Sus scrofa: one gene and its partner. The protein of the gene in region 1 interacts with the protein of each later gene in a pairwise test. Links are inferred from orthologs where the notes say so. Each region holds a gene or a part of one and is shown in the gene's direction. Other genes may lie near its edges.

Region 1 (3,794 bases):
CAGGATGAGAATCCCTTTGGAGCCAGTAAAAGGTATTGGTACTTGTGAGGCAGATGTGAACGAGCTTTGGGGGCCATGGTCATTGGAGTTGTCCTGTTTTCCTTTGGGCTGGAGGGAGGCTGGGTGTTGGCGTCAGTGTAGGAAAGAGTCACTCTCTGCCTCCGCCCCCACCTTCCCTCCACGGACAGCCTCCCTGGCAGGCAGTAAGAGTCTGCAGTGAACTGCCCGCATGGGACAGTGTTTCTAAGAGCCCACGAGGGGTTTTGTGGTCACTGACAGTGGAAGAGTTGGGCCCACACGTACCTGGCTTTTCTTACCCCATTTCAGTTGCCTGACCCTGGGATGATTGTTTGCTTCTGTGCTACTGATTTACTGAACCAAGCTTTGGGTATACCTTTTCCCTTCTTCCTCGGGATGCCCCCCCCCCTTTATAGTGGTATCAGACACAGAGATATTCAGGAGTGAGGAGGGCCATGATTCCAATGTACCCCCATGATGACAGGATGCTTGATTTCAAGGTCTGACCCTAGTTAGTGTAGGGAGGGAAGAATCAGTGTTAGTGGTATTATTGTAGTATTTCCAAAGTTGTTTTTTTTTTTTTTTTAATGATCCCTTGGCCCAAATTTTATGTTTAACAGGAGAATCTGAATACTCAGAAGGGTAGGTGTCATGTGCAAGGTCACATACCTCACCAGTCTTCTTGCTGAGACTTGAACACCCATCTCTTGCTTCTTATCCGGATTTTCATTATTGGCATTTGTTTCTCTTTTCTCTTTTCATTGAAGTATGATTATACACAATAAAATACACGGAAAATAATAATACAGTTTAATAGGTCTTAACCAGTGCGTACACCCATGTAAGCCACACTCAAAATCATGATATAGAACATTTCCATTCCCCTAGAAAGTTCCTGCGTGCCTTTTTCCAATCTCTCCTTCTCCTTACCCAGGGATAAGCACTGTTCCCATTTCTATCCCTATAGGTTAGCTTAGTCTCATTTTTATTGTTTCTAAAACTTGTAATTAACTTCTTTGCAGAAAGATAAAATTTAGAATAAAATTCTTCTTTGATTCTGCTTTGATCTCTTGTTAAAAGCTGCACGCAGGATCATTCATCTGTTCCTGCCTCCTAGCCCCAGCAGAATTATCCTTTAATGTTGTAGGCGTACAACCCTCCTGAGAAATATATATTGTTGATCCTGGAATATTGAAGGCAAAATCCTTGTGGCATTATACTTGTGTGTGTTGGCGTGCAAGATTTATGGTTGGGATTCATGTTCATTTTTTTCCAAACGCCCTAGAAGAAAGACTCTAGATAAATACAGAAGTCTTTAGAACTAGCAGAGAGAACCTAAAATAAATGGATCTATACCATTACCACTTTGCATCTGGCTACACTCATTCCCTAACAGTGGTATTACACGATAGTGATTGTGAATGATGATGCATTATATGAAATACATAAAACACTGTGTGGTTTCATAGGTTTATAAAGAAAAAAAAAATCTTTTGTTCCAGGAATCAAGACTAAATACCAAGAGCAGGCAAGAAATGTTTTAAACAATTTCCTTTCAGATTGGGAGAATAATTTTAGTGCTTATTCCCTCAGGGAGAAAGCTCTTCAATAAATACAGAAATCTGTGGAAAATTAGGAGCTTAATAAGAGGCTTTCATATTGACTTTAATGCATTTACTTCTCCAGTGTTTGCTGCCTTGAAATGTAAAGTTAAAATTAAACAATTTAACTTGAACTGAAAAGAGCCTCGACGGTGTATAATCAATAATGCATTTCTTAGAGGCCTTATCGTGCCAAGGAAACATTTTTCAATAGATGAAAGTAGAGATCTTGTGATTTCATTTAAATGTGACGAATAAGACAGAAGAGCCTCTGGAAGGTTATCGTGTCTCCCCCACTGTCTTGGGATTAAGTCTGCACCTAGACTGCCCTGGACAGATAGAAAATTTTGAGAATTTACAAGTAAGGTTACATAACCCAATGTGGGACCACATCTCTCTTGCTAGTCAGCCCTTCTTTATGTAGTGATCCTGTTATGCCACATTAGATAGAATGGGGGCAGTTTTGCTCCAAGATGGAGCTGAGAGTGTGCAGCTAGAGAAGAATTGCACCAAGAAGACCCCAGGCTAGTGGGTCCTGGCTTGGGGGTTGGAGCCCGTGCCCAGTGGCTCCCTGCTGATTGGAACATTCTCCATTTGCTCTGCTCCCGTTTCCATGGCTTTCAGATCCTCGCTATCTAAAGCTTTTGAGCAAAATAAAACCATGAATGTATTTTCTTCCCTTTTTACCTTCACAAAAATCTTTGGATGAGTAAGAAGGATATATATGAATTTTCAGTGAAAAATCTTTTGGTTGAAATAGAATTAACATAGACTCAGATGTCCAAATCTTAAGCATACACACTGACAAGTTTGGAAAAATGTATACAATTTAGTAACCGACACGAAAATCAAGAGAGAATATTTCCATCGCCCCACAGAGTTCGCTCATCCACCTTTCCGACCAATGCCCTACCCAGAGGCAGTAACTCTTCTAATTGCTGTCACCGTGTATTAGCTTTGTCTGTTCTTAAATAAGAATTTTAAGTCTGAGAAAAGGCCATTTTCAAAAACATTGTAGAAATATATTTGAGTGTATTAAAAAACCACTGTGTAATGAAAAGCTTCCTAACACTTGATTGTCTGTATTTCTAAGGTCAAGGCTGGTTATATACGCCTATCATGTATGTTGTTAGTGGGAATTTTTAAAAAATCACAGAATGGTCTATGGACAAAATATCTTTATGTTCTCTGATGGCTTGCATCCCGGAAACAACTGTGGAAAGGCTGCAGCTATCATTAACCCTTTCCCCATTTGCAGAAGCTAGACTGCGTGGAGCCCTTACGCCCCTATGAGTCCTTTGACACCCTCAAACAGTTCCTTGAGTATGACAGGAAGGTTTTGCGCTTCTTCTGCCTGTGGGATGACTCGGGCTCGTTGTTTGGGGACCGCAGAGAACTCATCCTGCATTATTTTCTGTCTGATGATACCATCGAAATCAAAGAAGTGATGCCGCATAACTCGGGAAGAGATGCTATGTCATTGTTCCTCCAGAGGAGAAAGCTACCAAAGGTGAGCAGGCCACACGCGACCACTTTTCTGAGTTTGCCTGTGAAGATTCTAGTCACTCACTGTCTGGAATGTCATGTGTGATGACAAGTTACCATGTATTAGTGCAGGTGTTTGGAAGACTTTTCATTCTGTGCCCTCTATTAATATACATCTATGAAAGTAATACAGGGGATATGACAAACGGGGGGATATTCAGGACATAAGGCAAGTGAAGGAAAAAAGTCAGATGCAAGAGAACTGCCTATTCATCATGGAGTTCACAACGAGTCTTTTGAAGGCAAATGACTGTCTAGTAAAAGGATTGCTCATGAAGTTCCTTTGTGACGCAGTGGGTTAAGGATCGGGTGTTGTCACTGCCGTGGCTTGGGTTGCTGCTGTGACGCTGGTTTGATCCCTGGCACGGGAACTTCCGCATGCCATGGGCACAGTCAAAAGAAAAAAAGAAAAAAAGAATTGCTCATGGCCTTGGGCAGGCCACTGGCCTCTGGTCTTTATAGCCTACCGAAGAGATCCCATTGTATTGGTCTGGGTTGTGAACGCGCGCGCACACACACACACACACACACACACACACACACACACACACACACACACAAGCATACACACAAGAGTGATGCTTCTGAAGATAGTCACCAGTCCCCAACTAGCCTCTGGCTAGCAACAAT
Region 2 (4,165 bases), on another chromosome or scaffold:
TCTTTCTGTTTCAGGATTCTGATAACTTACTGTTTTAGCAACTGACAAATTTTAGGAGGAAGAGGCCATTACCATTCCCACTTAACAGAAGGGAGAACAGATCTCAAAGCTTTGCCCAGGACACACTGCCAGTGAGTACAAGCTGGACTAGAACCCACATGCATCTGACCTGAGATGTCTGCTACTAATCACTACCTCATTTTGACTCCTTCCCAGGGATAGAAGCTTGGGAAACCCAGAATGTTCTCCAAAATCTGCATCCTATGCTCCCAAATGATGCCTTCAGCTTTATTTAATCTCTCAATTTGTCCATCTGAGGCTTCCTAAAAAGCCAGAGGAGTGAGGAGAAAAGCAGTCTACAGACTAGAGTCCTAAATTTACCTAGGTTTACCAGTTGTCGGTACCGGTAATACCGACAACCTCAGTTTCCATCTATGAAATGGAGATAGTAATACAAACTACCGAATTTTCCCAGTGTTATCTACCAGTCACTCATCAAATCATCCCAGCGCTCTGAGGCTATCTATGAGAGCTTCAGAAATTACACCACTTGTGTGCGGAAACACGGCGAGTCAATCGTACAGCCTAAACGCCAACACTGAGTAGTCGACTCCGAGAAACCAGGCTCGCCCGTGAGGCCCCAAAGCTGCCCCTCGACCCACGGTACCGGTGTGGGCAAAAGGGGCGAGAAGGCAAAGTAAGGCGACAGGAGCGGGGAAACCTCCTGTAGAAGAGGCCTAGGTACACTCACCCTCCAGGATGGCGGGGATGCAGCCGAGCTGCACGGGCGTGGGCTGCTTCAAACCCAGCTGCCGACATTGTTCCACCAGCCACGATGACAGCCCGAGCTCAGCAAAGCCAGCCATCCTCTCAGTCAGCCCGGCACCCCTGTGAGCCGTGCTTCCGGCGCTTGTCGATGACGTCAGGGAAGCCTTCGCGTTTATTGGATCTACCTTTTGCGCGGCTCCACCCTCTGCAGTTTACTGCCATTCCTAGGCTCATTATATCCTTACCATGTTTTCCCCGAGCCCGCAGACTCGAATACAACTACAATTCCCGAGATGCCCTGTGAACGCACGTGCGTCTCCCGCCCCTTTAACTCCTCTTTAAGCTCATTTCCAGGGAGCCGAGTAAACTACATTTCCCGGAGGCTCTGCGGTGGCTCTGTGCTTCCGGCCGACGTGTCCTCAGGAAGAGGAAGGGGTAAGAACACAGCGACATGGCGCCACCGGCACCCGGCCCGGCCTCCGGCGGCTCCGGGGAAGTAGATGAGTTGTTCGACGTAAAGAATGCCTTCTACATTGGCAGCTACCAACAGTGCATCAACGAGGCTCAGCGGGTGAAGGTGGGCTAGGGGATGCTAGGGGCGGAGGCGGGGGCGGAATACGCTTCCTGTTGGCCACGGGTCGTGCTCTGATTTTAAAACCCTTTCTTTCCTCGTCCCGTTTTTCCTCTCACACCTCTTTAGAGCGCGATAAGGAATTATCCCTGTCCCATGACAAAACCCAAAGCAGCAGCAGTTTATGATACTTCTCACTTTGAGCGCTCTTAGCCTGGGAGGCGTTTGAGTAAAAGAGGGGTTTCTTACCGCTATGGTAATAACAATGGCGAGGTTATTACGCTATAGTAATGATAATAGTAACAGTAATTCTTGTTGGTTCAGCGCCCACACTGTGCCGCCATACCCTCAATACCTGTGAAGTAGGGACGTTGTTTATCCTCATTGTCCAGGTGAGAACTCCGAGGCTTTTCGCAATGTCACCCTGTCCCATTAACCAGATTATTTCTCTCCAAACATGCCCATTCGTTCACTCCTCATGGAGTATCTGTATAAGCCAGGCAGAGTGCTCGTGCTGGGCTCAAAGCAGTACAAAATAGACAAAACTCCCAGCTCTCTTGGAAACCTCAGCTCCCAAGGGAGACAGAGAATTAACAAGTTAATAAACAAGATGTCAGGAGATGGTGTGATGGGGAGTGGTGAGGGGGCTTGGCTGTTTGAGGGCTGAAAAATAGAGTCCAGGGCCCAGGCAGTGAGCGGGTGACAGGAGAGGGAGCAGAAAGGACCTTAGGCAGTACTTTTGGGGAAGGGTCACGGATATTACAGTTACTTTGAGAGTGAGCCATTGGAGAATTTTTTTTTTTTTTTTTAAGGGCTGCACCTGCGACATATGGAGGTTCCCAAGCTAGGGGTCTAATCAGAGCTGTAGCCGCCAGCTTACACCACAGCCACAGCAACTCGGGATCTAAGCCTCGTCTTCGACCTACACCGAAGCTCACAGCAACGCTGGATCCCTAACCCACTGAACAAAGCCAGAGATCGAACCCGCAACCTCATGGTTCCTAGTTGGAATCGTTAACCACTGAGCCACGATGGGAACTCCAGGGTTTAGTGTTCTGAAGAGAGAAAGCTTAATTACAACTTGAGCCCTATGGGGGTGAGAGGAGATGAGAGTACTGAGTCAGAAATGGGGGTGGGGGGAGTTCCCACTGTGGCACAGTGGGTTAAGAATCCAGCTGCAGGGGCTTGGGTCACTGCCATGGCTCAGATTCAGTCCCTGGCCCAGGAACTTCCATATGCCGTGGCGCAGCTATAAAATAAAATTGAAAAAAAATTAGAGATGGGGGTGGGAACTGCTTTGCATGAGAGTGGTCAGATCAGGCCAGATCTCTCTGTCATTTGAACCTGAGACTGAACCTTGGGGAAGGATCTAACCCCATAAGTTGCTGCAGAGGTGGCCGAGGCAGGAGTGAGTTCCAGGTGATCAAGGCCTAGGAGGCTGGTATAGCAGAAGTGGGGCAAGTACAGCGGGAGAGACAAAGAATGAGGTGGACAGAGCCTTAGGGGGCGGCAGCAGCAGGGGTTTGGGTTTTATTCCAAACATGTTTGGAGGCCATTGTGGGAGGCCATCGAAGCACCAAGCAGGGGAGTGGCAGATGTCTTCAGAGAGGCACGCAGAGCCTTCGGAGGAAATTGGATTCTGAAGTAGAGAAAGCTTGTTTTCCCTTCTGGCCATTTGCAGGGAACCTCATGTCCCTGAGCATTATCTATGTAATGGGGGTAGAACTCCAAACAGATTTCAGGAAGGTTAGGATTTGCTGAAATAACGTGTGTACAATCATGTTCGCTTTCCATTGCCGCTGTGACAAATTAGCACAAACAATGGCTTAAAAGAGCACACATTTATTATCTCACAGCTTCTGTAGGTCAGAAGTTCAGCAAGGTTCTCGCCAGGCTAACATCAAAGTATTGGTCTGGCTACATCTTTTCTGGAGGTTCTGGGGAGGAATCACCTTCCTAACTTGTTCCAGTTGCTGCCTCTTGACCAGGGGCCACTCTTAGCTCCTAGAGGCTTCTCTCTAGTCCTCAAGCTCGCACATCACCCTTCCATCTCAGAACCAGCCATAAGGTTCTCATGCTTGGAGTCTCTCAGATTTCCCCCTCTCCTTCATCCCTTTAGTCTAAAAGTCTTCTGCTTGGAGCTCCCGTTGTGGCTCCGCAGGTTAAGAACCTGACATAGTCTCCATGAGGACGCACGTTCAGCCCCTGGCTTGGCTCAGTGGATTAAGGATCTGGCATTGCCACAAACTGCAGCATAGGTTGCAGATGCTGCTTGGATCCAGCATTGCTGTGGTTGTGGTGTAGGCCGTCACTGCAGCTCCAATTCAGCCCCTAGCCTGGGACCTTCCGTATGCCGCAGGTGTGGCCCTAAAAAGAAAATAAATAAATAAGTGGTCTTTGCTTTTAAGAGCATCTGTGATTAGACAGGATGTTCCCATGTAACCTAACATAGTCTCCCCATTTTGGGGCTCATAACGTTCATCACACCATTGAAATCCCTTTTGTAATGTCAACTGTTCACAGGTCCCAGGGATTGGCGTGGACGTCTCGAGGGGAGAGAGGGTACAGGGATGTGTGCGTGTCTCACTCTGCTTAGCACCACGGTTATGGGCCTCCACGCTGGGGTAGTGTATGTAGCTCACAAGAAGATTGAGGCATTCCTGGGCTCGGATTCTGGCTCTTCTAGGTTCTCTCTGCAGCCAAGCCTGATTCACTGCACCTCTCTAAGCCTCAGTTTCCCATCCTGTCACATGGGAACAGTGACATTCATTTCAGTAAGGTCTCTGTGAGATTCATTGTTATACTCATGTTCTGCCTTTTGCTTTC

The links. The genes of interacting proteins can lie anywhere in the genome.
Region 2: the proteins of EFHC2 (region 1) and COPE interact in binary tests that used the Homo sapiens proteins (3 or more experiments, as listed by UniProt). The two-hybrid records come from large-scale screens. The link is inferred for Sus scrofa from reciprocal best matches to the Homo sapiens genes EFHC2 and COPE.

Annotation. Positions count from the first base shown.
Region 1 is NC_010461.5:39,517,275-39,521,068, reverse strand, and holds part of EFHC2 (EF-hand domain-containing family member C2), read left to right. Parts: intron 1-2,877; coding exon 2,878-3,129; intron 3,130-3,794. UniProt on the Homo sapiens protein: Microtubule inner protein (MIP) part of the dynein-decorated doublet microtubules (DMTs) in cilia axoneme, which is required for motile cilia beating.
Region 2 is NC_010444.4:58,929,794-58,933,958, forward strand, and holds the start of COPE (coatomer subunit epsilon), read left to right. Parts: upstream 1-1,135; 5' UTR 1,136-1,219; coding exon 1,220-1,345; intron 1,346-4,165. Other genes in the region: probable ATP-dependent RNA helicase DDX49, read right to left, coding at 752-866. UniProt on the Homo sapiens protein: The coatomer is a cytosolic protein complex that binds to dilysine motifs and reversibly associates with Golgi non-clathrin-coated vesicles, which further mediate biosynthetic protein transport from the ER, via the Golgi up to the trans Golgi network.